Linked DNA regions of Caenorhabditis elegans. The protein of the gene in region 1 purifies or fractionates together with the protein of each later gene. This does not show direct contact. Each region holds a gene or a part of one and is shown on either strand. Other genes may lie near its edges.

Region 1 (4,307 bases):
GATGCTTGTCTTTAGGCGGCGATGCTCCGTTCATAAATTTTGAAGTTTCAGGAAAAAGCAGGTCAGCTTTGTTTTCATCAGCAAAAACCTGATTAGTGTATTCTTCAATGGCATTCTCTGAAAATTAGAAACAAAATTAATGGTTTAAGTAGATTAAAACTAACCTCCACCACTTTGAAACTCAAATTGACTAGAAAACGACTTATCGCTCATCACGCTGGCTGGACGACTCGCACTGCGCGAGCTAGCGGCAGATCGCAAATCTTCATTTTTCTCCTCAATCGTTGTCAGGTCATTAACCTTTGGATTAGTCATGTTTGTTTTGAAGCGACCACCATTTTTGAAGTTTTTCGGTGTCTCGTGTACTTCCTCTTCTTCGAGTTCTACATCACCATCAGCATTGTCTGAAAAAGCTATTTTAATTGCATAACATGTATAATAACTTACAGAATGATTCATTATCATTGTCATCAATGGGACTATCTTCAATTTCTTCGAACTGTTCATTACAGAGATTCATTGGAGCATCATCTTCCATTTTTAATACGCTGAGAATAGAAAAAGTTTTAAAATGAATGATTTTAAAAGCGTAAACACTAATCATTTGACGGGCGCGCCAATGTTTGTTTTCTGTGTCCGCAAACACGGCCACGCGAAAATGCGTACTTTTGTATCATATTTTTTGCAATTCAAATTGAAATAACTATTTTTTTATAGTCGTTTTTAAAACATAAAATCTAAATATATTGTGAATTTCAGCGAAAAATAAAACACAAAAACAATGGGTGATATTGATGAACGAATGATGGGACGTGCTGCTAGTCAATCTCGATTTCTTCCCAATGATCAGCAAGTCATAAGGTTGGTTTTTATTAGGTTTTCTCTAAAAATTCGATAACTGTTCAGTGACCCTCTGTCCAAACAAATCTTCGAATACGAACAATCGCATACTCCAAATGATCGTGAACTGCTTGAAATAATTCAGAAAATCGAGAGAAGTAATCCGGAACGATGTTCGAAAGCACCAAAGTTCGTGTCCCAGCTGCTAACTCACAGAACGACACCTATTCGTAAATTTGCATTTGCGGCTTGTCTGAAAATCTTGGCCCATCCTCAAAGTGTAAGAATTATCAAAATGACAATAATTTCAATTTTGAAAGTTTAGCCACGGCAAATGATGCTCGATTCCTATCACTTGGCACTTGTAAATTCAAATCCTCAAGTGGCTCAACATGCTTTATCGCTTCTGCCTAAGTTTGTTGACGCCTGTCCAGGTGAATCGATAGTAATAAACTCATTTTCATATTAATCTTGCAGAAGAAGCAAATAACCTGATAAAGTTCGGATCAATAGCATACAACAGACTTCCAGCTCCATGTACTGACGTTGAAAGTTTTCTATCAAAATCTTATACCAAAGCTTCTCAATGATTGATTTATTGTTTAGATTTATGAGTTGCGACGGGTTTTCATTTATCAATAAATCGGGTATTTCATTTATTTGATTTTTCTTTGCTTCTCGGTAAAAATGGGCTTAACTTGTCCCATCTTTATACCTTATTTATAAAATTTCATGATATTCGGAAAGTATTAAAATCTAATTCAGATGACAGTGTCTTCCCGAGAACGACGATGTGCACGTCTGTTAACGGCAGCTGATGCTTCGACATATTTTGAAAAGTACAAAAGAATCAGATCAACCGATATGAAGGTATACCTAAAGAAATAATATATTTCAAGCTTTCCCACTCATCAATTTTAGAAATGAAAACTACTTTTCTATTCCAGGTCCAGCAATGCCAATCAATAGCATTTAATTGTGATGGAACAAAACTTGTATGTGGTGCATTCGACAAAAAAGTGAGCGTTGCAAATGTGGATGGAGGTCGTCTCAGATTTTCTTGGGTGGGCTCTAGTCATTCATCGTCTGTGGAACAGGTATATCGGAAATTTCCTCATCTGGTGTTAACGATTTCTATTTCAGGTAGCATGTAGTGAAAAGCAGCCAAACTTATTTGCATCAGCCAGTGCAGATAGAAACATTTGTGTATGGGACATTCGACAAAGCAAACCGACTCATCGAATTTCAAATCGAGGTTTCAAATTAACAATTTAAACTCCTAAAAATGATCGGCTTTCAGTTGGAAATTTCTTCATCTCCTGGTCTCCGTGTGACGAATATTTCATATTTCTCGACAAAGATAATCGGATAAATACAGTAGACATTCGGAATTATCAAGTTGTAAATGTGAGTTTCAAGAGCTATTTAGCAACTTGAGATTTTTAGGATTTTGCTAGGATTGCTTGTAAAGTTGTAAAGACGATCAAAACATTTTAAATTTAATTATTTTCAGTCCTATGAAATGAAAACTTTCTCCCACGAGCTAACATTTCACCCTTTGTCGAACCACGTATTCGTAGCAGAGTCTGGAGGAAAAGTTGAAATTCTAAAGTTCGCCGGTGGAGCCCTTGAACCTGTGACTTCGATTCAAGCCCATTCGCATCAAGTTGAGTGTCTGGCAGTGTCGATCTCGAAAGACGGGCGAAAATTGGCAGTTGGAGCATCGGATGCTTCTTGCTCACTTTGGGATCTTGAAGAACTCATTTGTGAAAGAGTTATTCCTAGGTAAGCAGCAGGACTGGGACTTTTTTTGGTATTTTGGGGCAAAAATATATGTTTAAAAATATATTATACTTAAAACGTTATTTTATTTAAAAAAATATATTTTACAAGTCTTTTTAAGCTAAATGTTGCTTTTAATAGTTTTTGAATTCGTTTCCTCAAATATTAGAATTGCTTTACTCCAACGTTTGTGCGACTAATTAATTGCGAGTTTAGCACAAAATATTTGAGATTCCATCGAAAATCGAATCTATAAATTTTTTTTGATTTTTCGCCAACTTCTATTTTTTGTATTTTGCTCCAACATACTTTTTTGAAAGCAGATGCTCTCAAAATTCGAATAATGATGAGATTTTTTTTCAAGTTTGCAACCTAATCCATTTATCTAGACTCCCGTCCGTCTTTTTTGAAATCATATTTCGTAAATCATCAATTTTTATGTATTACAGTTTATGTACGATAATTAAAATTGGATGATAGACATAGCTTCGAAACATAACCATTATTAGAAGTATTGTTCTCAGATGCTTTTAAAGTTAAAACTGCAAAACTTTCAGACACGACTACGGAATAAGAGCTGTATCATTTTCTTGTAATGGTCAACTTCTTGCATCTGGATCCGAAGATCACTCAATCGATATTGCCTATGTACCAGACGGATCACGTTGCCACGAAATTAAACACACTGGCGAGACCTATTCAGTTGCCTGGCATCCGAACTCTCTTCTCCTTGCATACACTGCTTCCGATAGTATGGACAATAGGGAAGCAGCACATGTTAAAACGTTTGGACACAGTACCGTGTAAAATTTTTCCATAATTATTTTCTCTTGCTCTTGTTCTCGAAAATTGATCTGATACTATAAATTAAAAAAATCGTTTTATCTAGTTAAAAATAATCAACTGCAAACTATACATCAATCACCGAATACGCATCTCTGAAAATTTCAAGATAAATGAAAATCTTTAAAAATCAAATACATTTTCTTGTACCATTCATCAGAATTGTCTGAAAAAATCTTGCCACACGTGGCAGATCCCCATCTTCCATTCATCATCACCGATCGACAAAAACCTTCAGAATCCGCCAGTATTTTGTGTTGCCCATTCTGTAAATTGGGACTTCCGAAGAAAAAACCAGTCCACTCTACTCTTACAGTACACAATAAGTTCCCACATTCTGAATTAGGCTCAAACTGGCAATTTATATTCTGAAATGTTTCAGTTGAAGTCCATACACCCTGCCACGTGCAAAGTTGAGATTGTGGCCGACAACAATAATGACGAATATGGGTGTTATCTTCACATCTGGAAAAAGAAGAGCTTCGGTATTATGCTCAAAAATTGGTTTCACCTTGATTCCGTGGAAAATACTTTTTTGGAAAGCCAACCATTTCCATTTTCAGAGCATAATATTTCTCTCGGACTTCCACAATCACTGACATAACATCCAAATCTTTCCCGTCGATCTATTAGAACATTTGCTGAACATGTGCGATCTGGAAAAAATATAACCTTTTCATTGTTCAGAAAATTTTTTTTTACCAAGAAGCCTATGATAAATTTGTTTCCAAAAAATCTCTACACTACTAAACATATTTTTCTTCTTATCTATCAGTTCTGACTATAATGACCCCAGTGCGTAAAACTGCGATTTTTCACTCGAAACTACGGTACAAGGTCTC
Region 2 (3,607 bases), on another chromosome or scaffold:
TGCTTTTCACAGCTTTTTCCCGTTTTTTCTTATTAAAACTGATAAATAAATATTTTTTGCAGATGCTAAAACAATTTCCAAGTAAAAAAATTATGTATTCAGTCGGCAAGCAGCGGTGAAAGTGGTCAATGCAACATGATGGATTACGGGAATACAAAACCTAAACTTTTTCTTAAACATGATACATATGCTGCTTAGATGCTGAAATTACCTGATTTTCATAACGAGACCGCTGAAAAAGTTTTGAGGTTTTCAAAATTCAACTTTTTGTGCGAAAATCTCGACTTTTTCACCAAAATAGTTGAATTTTGGAAACCTCAAAACTTTTTCAGCGGTCTCGTTATGAAAATCAGGTAGTCTCAGCATTTAAGCAGCATATGTATCATGTTTAAGAAAAAATTTAGGTTTTGTATTCCCGTAATCCATTATATTACAATGCCCACTTTCACCGCTGCTTGCCCACTGAATACATGATTTTTTTACTTGGAAATTGTTTTAGCATCTGCAAAAAATATTTATTTATCAGTTTTATTAAGAAAAAACGAAAAAAATCGATGAAAAACGAAAGAAAACAGGCGGAAAACAAAGCAAGATAAATGGCCGCTGAAACTTATCGGCCCCTTGGCCATGGCCTAGAAACCACTTTTCCTCTTCCCTCGTGAGGAAAATGTTGCAGTGTACAATGCAAATCTGAATTTCCGAACAATTTATATGCGGGCAGAGCTGTAAAATTTTGGTTGAACCTATAGTGAGAATCTAGTGAGATGAGTCCAATTCTACCACACGGGCAAATCTTTAAACTAACTTTGAAAAAAAGGGAAAAAATTTTAATTCCCGCGTCAAAAATTTACACAGAAACTTGAAATATTTACCCCTAAAGATTTTTCTCAGAAGGCAAACTTTACGACACAGTTTATTTGCGTTGGGACGACGGACTAATTTTTCAAACGGTGTAGAAAACTCGGCCACCAAAAAATTTTATAATGGTCAAAAAGTAACCTGAAAATTTTCAAAACTAATTTCATTAAATCCTGCCAATCTAATTTTTTTCTTTGAAAAAAATTATTTATTCGCGGCCGCGCAGAAGAAAACTCGGCCACCAACTTTTCGAGAACCCTCATATCAGCAAAAAAGAATACAATGTTTTTAGAAAAAAAACTCACAACTTTTCTTCGACTGAAAAAAAACTGTTAAACTAACCTCAATGTTCCGATATTAGTTTTGCGATGACGTGGCATTAAATATAATAAAAATGTGGAATTTGTTAAAAACTAAAAATTTCACGTAAATAGAACCGAGTTTATCAAGAAAGTTCACGAATATGTTCTGTTGAAAAACTTAGTTTTAACCGTAAAAATTCCAGGTTTTTATCAAGATGTGCCTATTAATAGAATATATTGTGTTCCCAACGCGAACTGTGCAAATTTTCAGACTACAGTACCCCTCTACAGTAGTAGTTTTGAATTCGAAATCGCTTTTTCTTCTTTTTAGTGTTTTCAAATCGAATTTTCTTGTAATTCTTGGATTTTTTGGTTCTGGAAATTCTGGAAAACCCCCTGAAAATGGTACAAAACCTATAATACAAGAAGAAAGTATTTTGATCGATGCACCATGACCCGATCTCCACGGGAACCGCCAAATCGACTTTAAAATCCCTTCCACGCGAGACCTGAATTTCGTTCTGGACCAAGAAAAGATTTTTTAAAAAATCTGATTTTCAAACATTTTTATTTTAAATTTTGCGAACCTGTAAAAAGTGAAGTTTTATGCAAATTTTCATGTTTCCCGCGATCTTTAATGCTAATTTTAGTTGGAAAATACGATTTTCTAACTATTTTTGAGGTTTTCTCAATGGAAAATATCGTTTTTCACTGCGAATCAGCCCGAATAAATTACAAAATTAATTCCAAAAGTCAACGTTAACGCTGACGTCCACATCGAGAAACGCGCCAAGGAGAGTGCTGACGCGCCCGCGGTGCGCGCAAACACGTCAGCTTATTTTCTCGAATTGCGTTCGCTTTTTCTCTATTTTCTCTCCGTTTTTTCCGCTTTCTTTTGTCTTTTTATTCTATTTTTCTGCATAATTTGTTGGTTTTTTTTTTCAGTTTTCCCGCTATTTACACTCTCAGAGCCCTGAAAACCCCGTAATAATCCCTGTTTTTTCCAGCAGATGAGCCGACTCGTCCTTCTCATCTCCCTGGTGATTGTCGTCGCCTCGGCTGCTGCTCCACAATGTGAAGGTTTGTAAATTTGAGAAAGCTTAATTACTTAATTATCTAATAAAAAATCGCGAAATTTTCAGTCTGCAAAAAGGTTCTGGACGATGTGATGGCAAAAGTGCCGGCCGGCGACAAATCCAAGCCAGATGCCATCGGAAAAGTGATCAGAGAGCATTGTGAGACCACTCGCAACAAGGAGAACAAATTTGTAGGGGATTTAAAGATTTAAATGATTTAATCTAATTTTCCTTTAAAATTTTTAATTTTTATCCATTTTCAGTGCTTCTACATCGGCGCACTCCCAGAATCGGCCACTTCCATCATGAACGAGGTCACCAAGCCGCTCAGTTGGTCGATGCCAACGGAAAAAGTCTGTTTGGAGAAGCTCAAGGGCAAGGATGCTCAGATTTGTGAGCTTAAATACGGTTCGTTTGGCGCATAATCTCGCTTTTAATCAAAAAAAAAAAATAAATAAATCCCCAAATTTCACAGACAAGCCACTCGACTGGAAGACGATCGATTTGAAGAAAATGCGCGTGAAAGAGCTGAAAAACATTCTCGGCGAGTGGGGAGAGGTGTGCAAGGGATGCACCGAGAAGGCCGAGCTCATCAAGCGCATCGAGGAGCTTAAGCCGAAATATGTCAAAGAAGAGCTGTGATTTTTTTTTCATGCCGTTCTACATGTGATAATCGTGTTTTTAGCGTGTGTGTTTTTATTGCAATTTTACTTGTTGAAATCTATTTTTTATTAATAATAATTTATTTATTGATTTCCCCCCCCCCCCTTAATTTTTTCGTGTTTCATCATCATCTTCCTCCCACTGGTCTGGTCAAATGAAGCTTTTTTCCCTGATTTTCCCTCAGTTTGCCAATTTTTCGGTTCTAATCCGGTTTTTAATAATTTATTTTACCTTTTTTCTAGGTTTTCCAGGAAATAAATCAGTTTAAAAATGTGATTTTCGAAGATTTACGGTCGAAAACTGGCATTTTTAGGCTGAAAATATCGATTTTCACCTTAAAAACCTCCAAAAACCAATTTTATCGATTTCGAAACGTTATTATTGATGGAAAATACGTAAAAATGGAAAATAATACCCATTTTCAGCTTTTTCAACGCCGAAAAATCAATTTTCGGCGATATTTTCTACTAAAATTACCGAAAAATGTGATTTTTCCGCAAAAATATGCGATTTCATAACAGTTTTCGTTGGGAAATGCACAGAAATCCAATTTTTCTAAAAATTTCGCAAAGGAATTGATTTTTTACTTAAATTACCGTTAAATTTATACATTTTTAGTATAAAAATTAAGATTTCGCGTGGATAACGAGAATTTACAGCGTTTTTTTGCTGAAAATATCGATTTTCTCGAATTTAGCGTTTTCAAAA

What was found.
Region 2: the proteins of thoc-3 (region 1) and manf-1 fractionate together in Caenorhabditis elegans (co-fractionation; one large-scale study listed by BioGRID). This does not show direct contact.

The regions. Positions count from the first base shown.
Region 1 is NC_003279.8:8,969,534-8,973,840, forward strand, and holds thoc-3 (WD_REPEATS_REGION domain-containing protein), read left to right. Parts: upstream 1-1,605; coding exon 1,606-1,710; intron 1,711-1,787; coding exon 1,788-1,937; intron 1,938-1,983; coding exon 1,984-2,095; intron 2,096-2,140; coding exon 2,141-2,247; intron 2,248-2,353; coding exon 2,354-2,625; intron 2,626-3,179; coding exon 3,180-3,429; 3' UTR 3,430-3,504; downstream 3,505-4,307. Other genes in the region: spd-2 (Spindle-defective protein 2), read right to left, coding at 1-117, 165-404, 448-538; F32H2.10 (Integrator complex subunit 1 R4 domain-containing protein), read left to right, coding at 782-861, 907-1,120, 1,166-1,274, 1,318-1,430; F32H2.12 (SRCR domain-containing protein), read right to left, coding at 3,533-3,560, 3,604-3,731, 3,780-3,930, 3,977-4,121.
Region 2 is NC_003282.8:2,926,982-2,930,588, reverse strand, and holds manf-1 (Mesencephalic astrocyte-derived neurotrophic factor homolog), read left to right. Parts: upstream 1-2,167; 5' UTR 2,168-2,170; coding exon 2,171-2,240; intron 2,241-2,302; coding exon 2,303-2,427; intron 2,428-2,499; coding exon 2,500-2,644; intron 2,645-2,711; coding exon 2,712-2,878; 3' UTR 2,879-3,072; downstream 3,073-3,607. UniProt on the Caenorhabditis elegans protein: Inhibits endoplasmic reticulum (ER) stress response. Retained in the ER under normal conditions and is up-regulated and secreted by the ER in response to ER stress and hypoxia.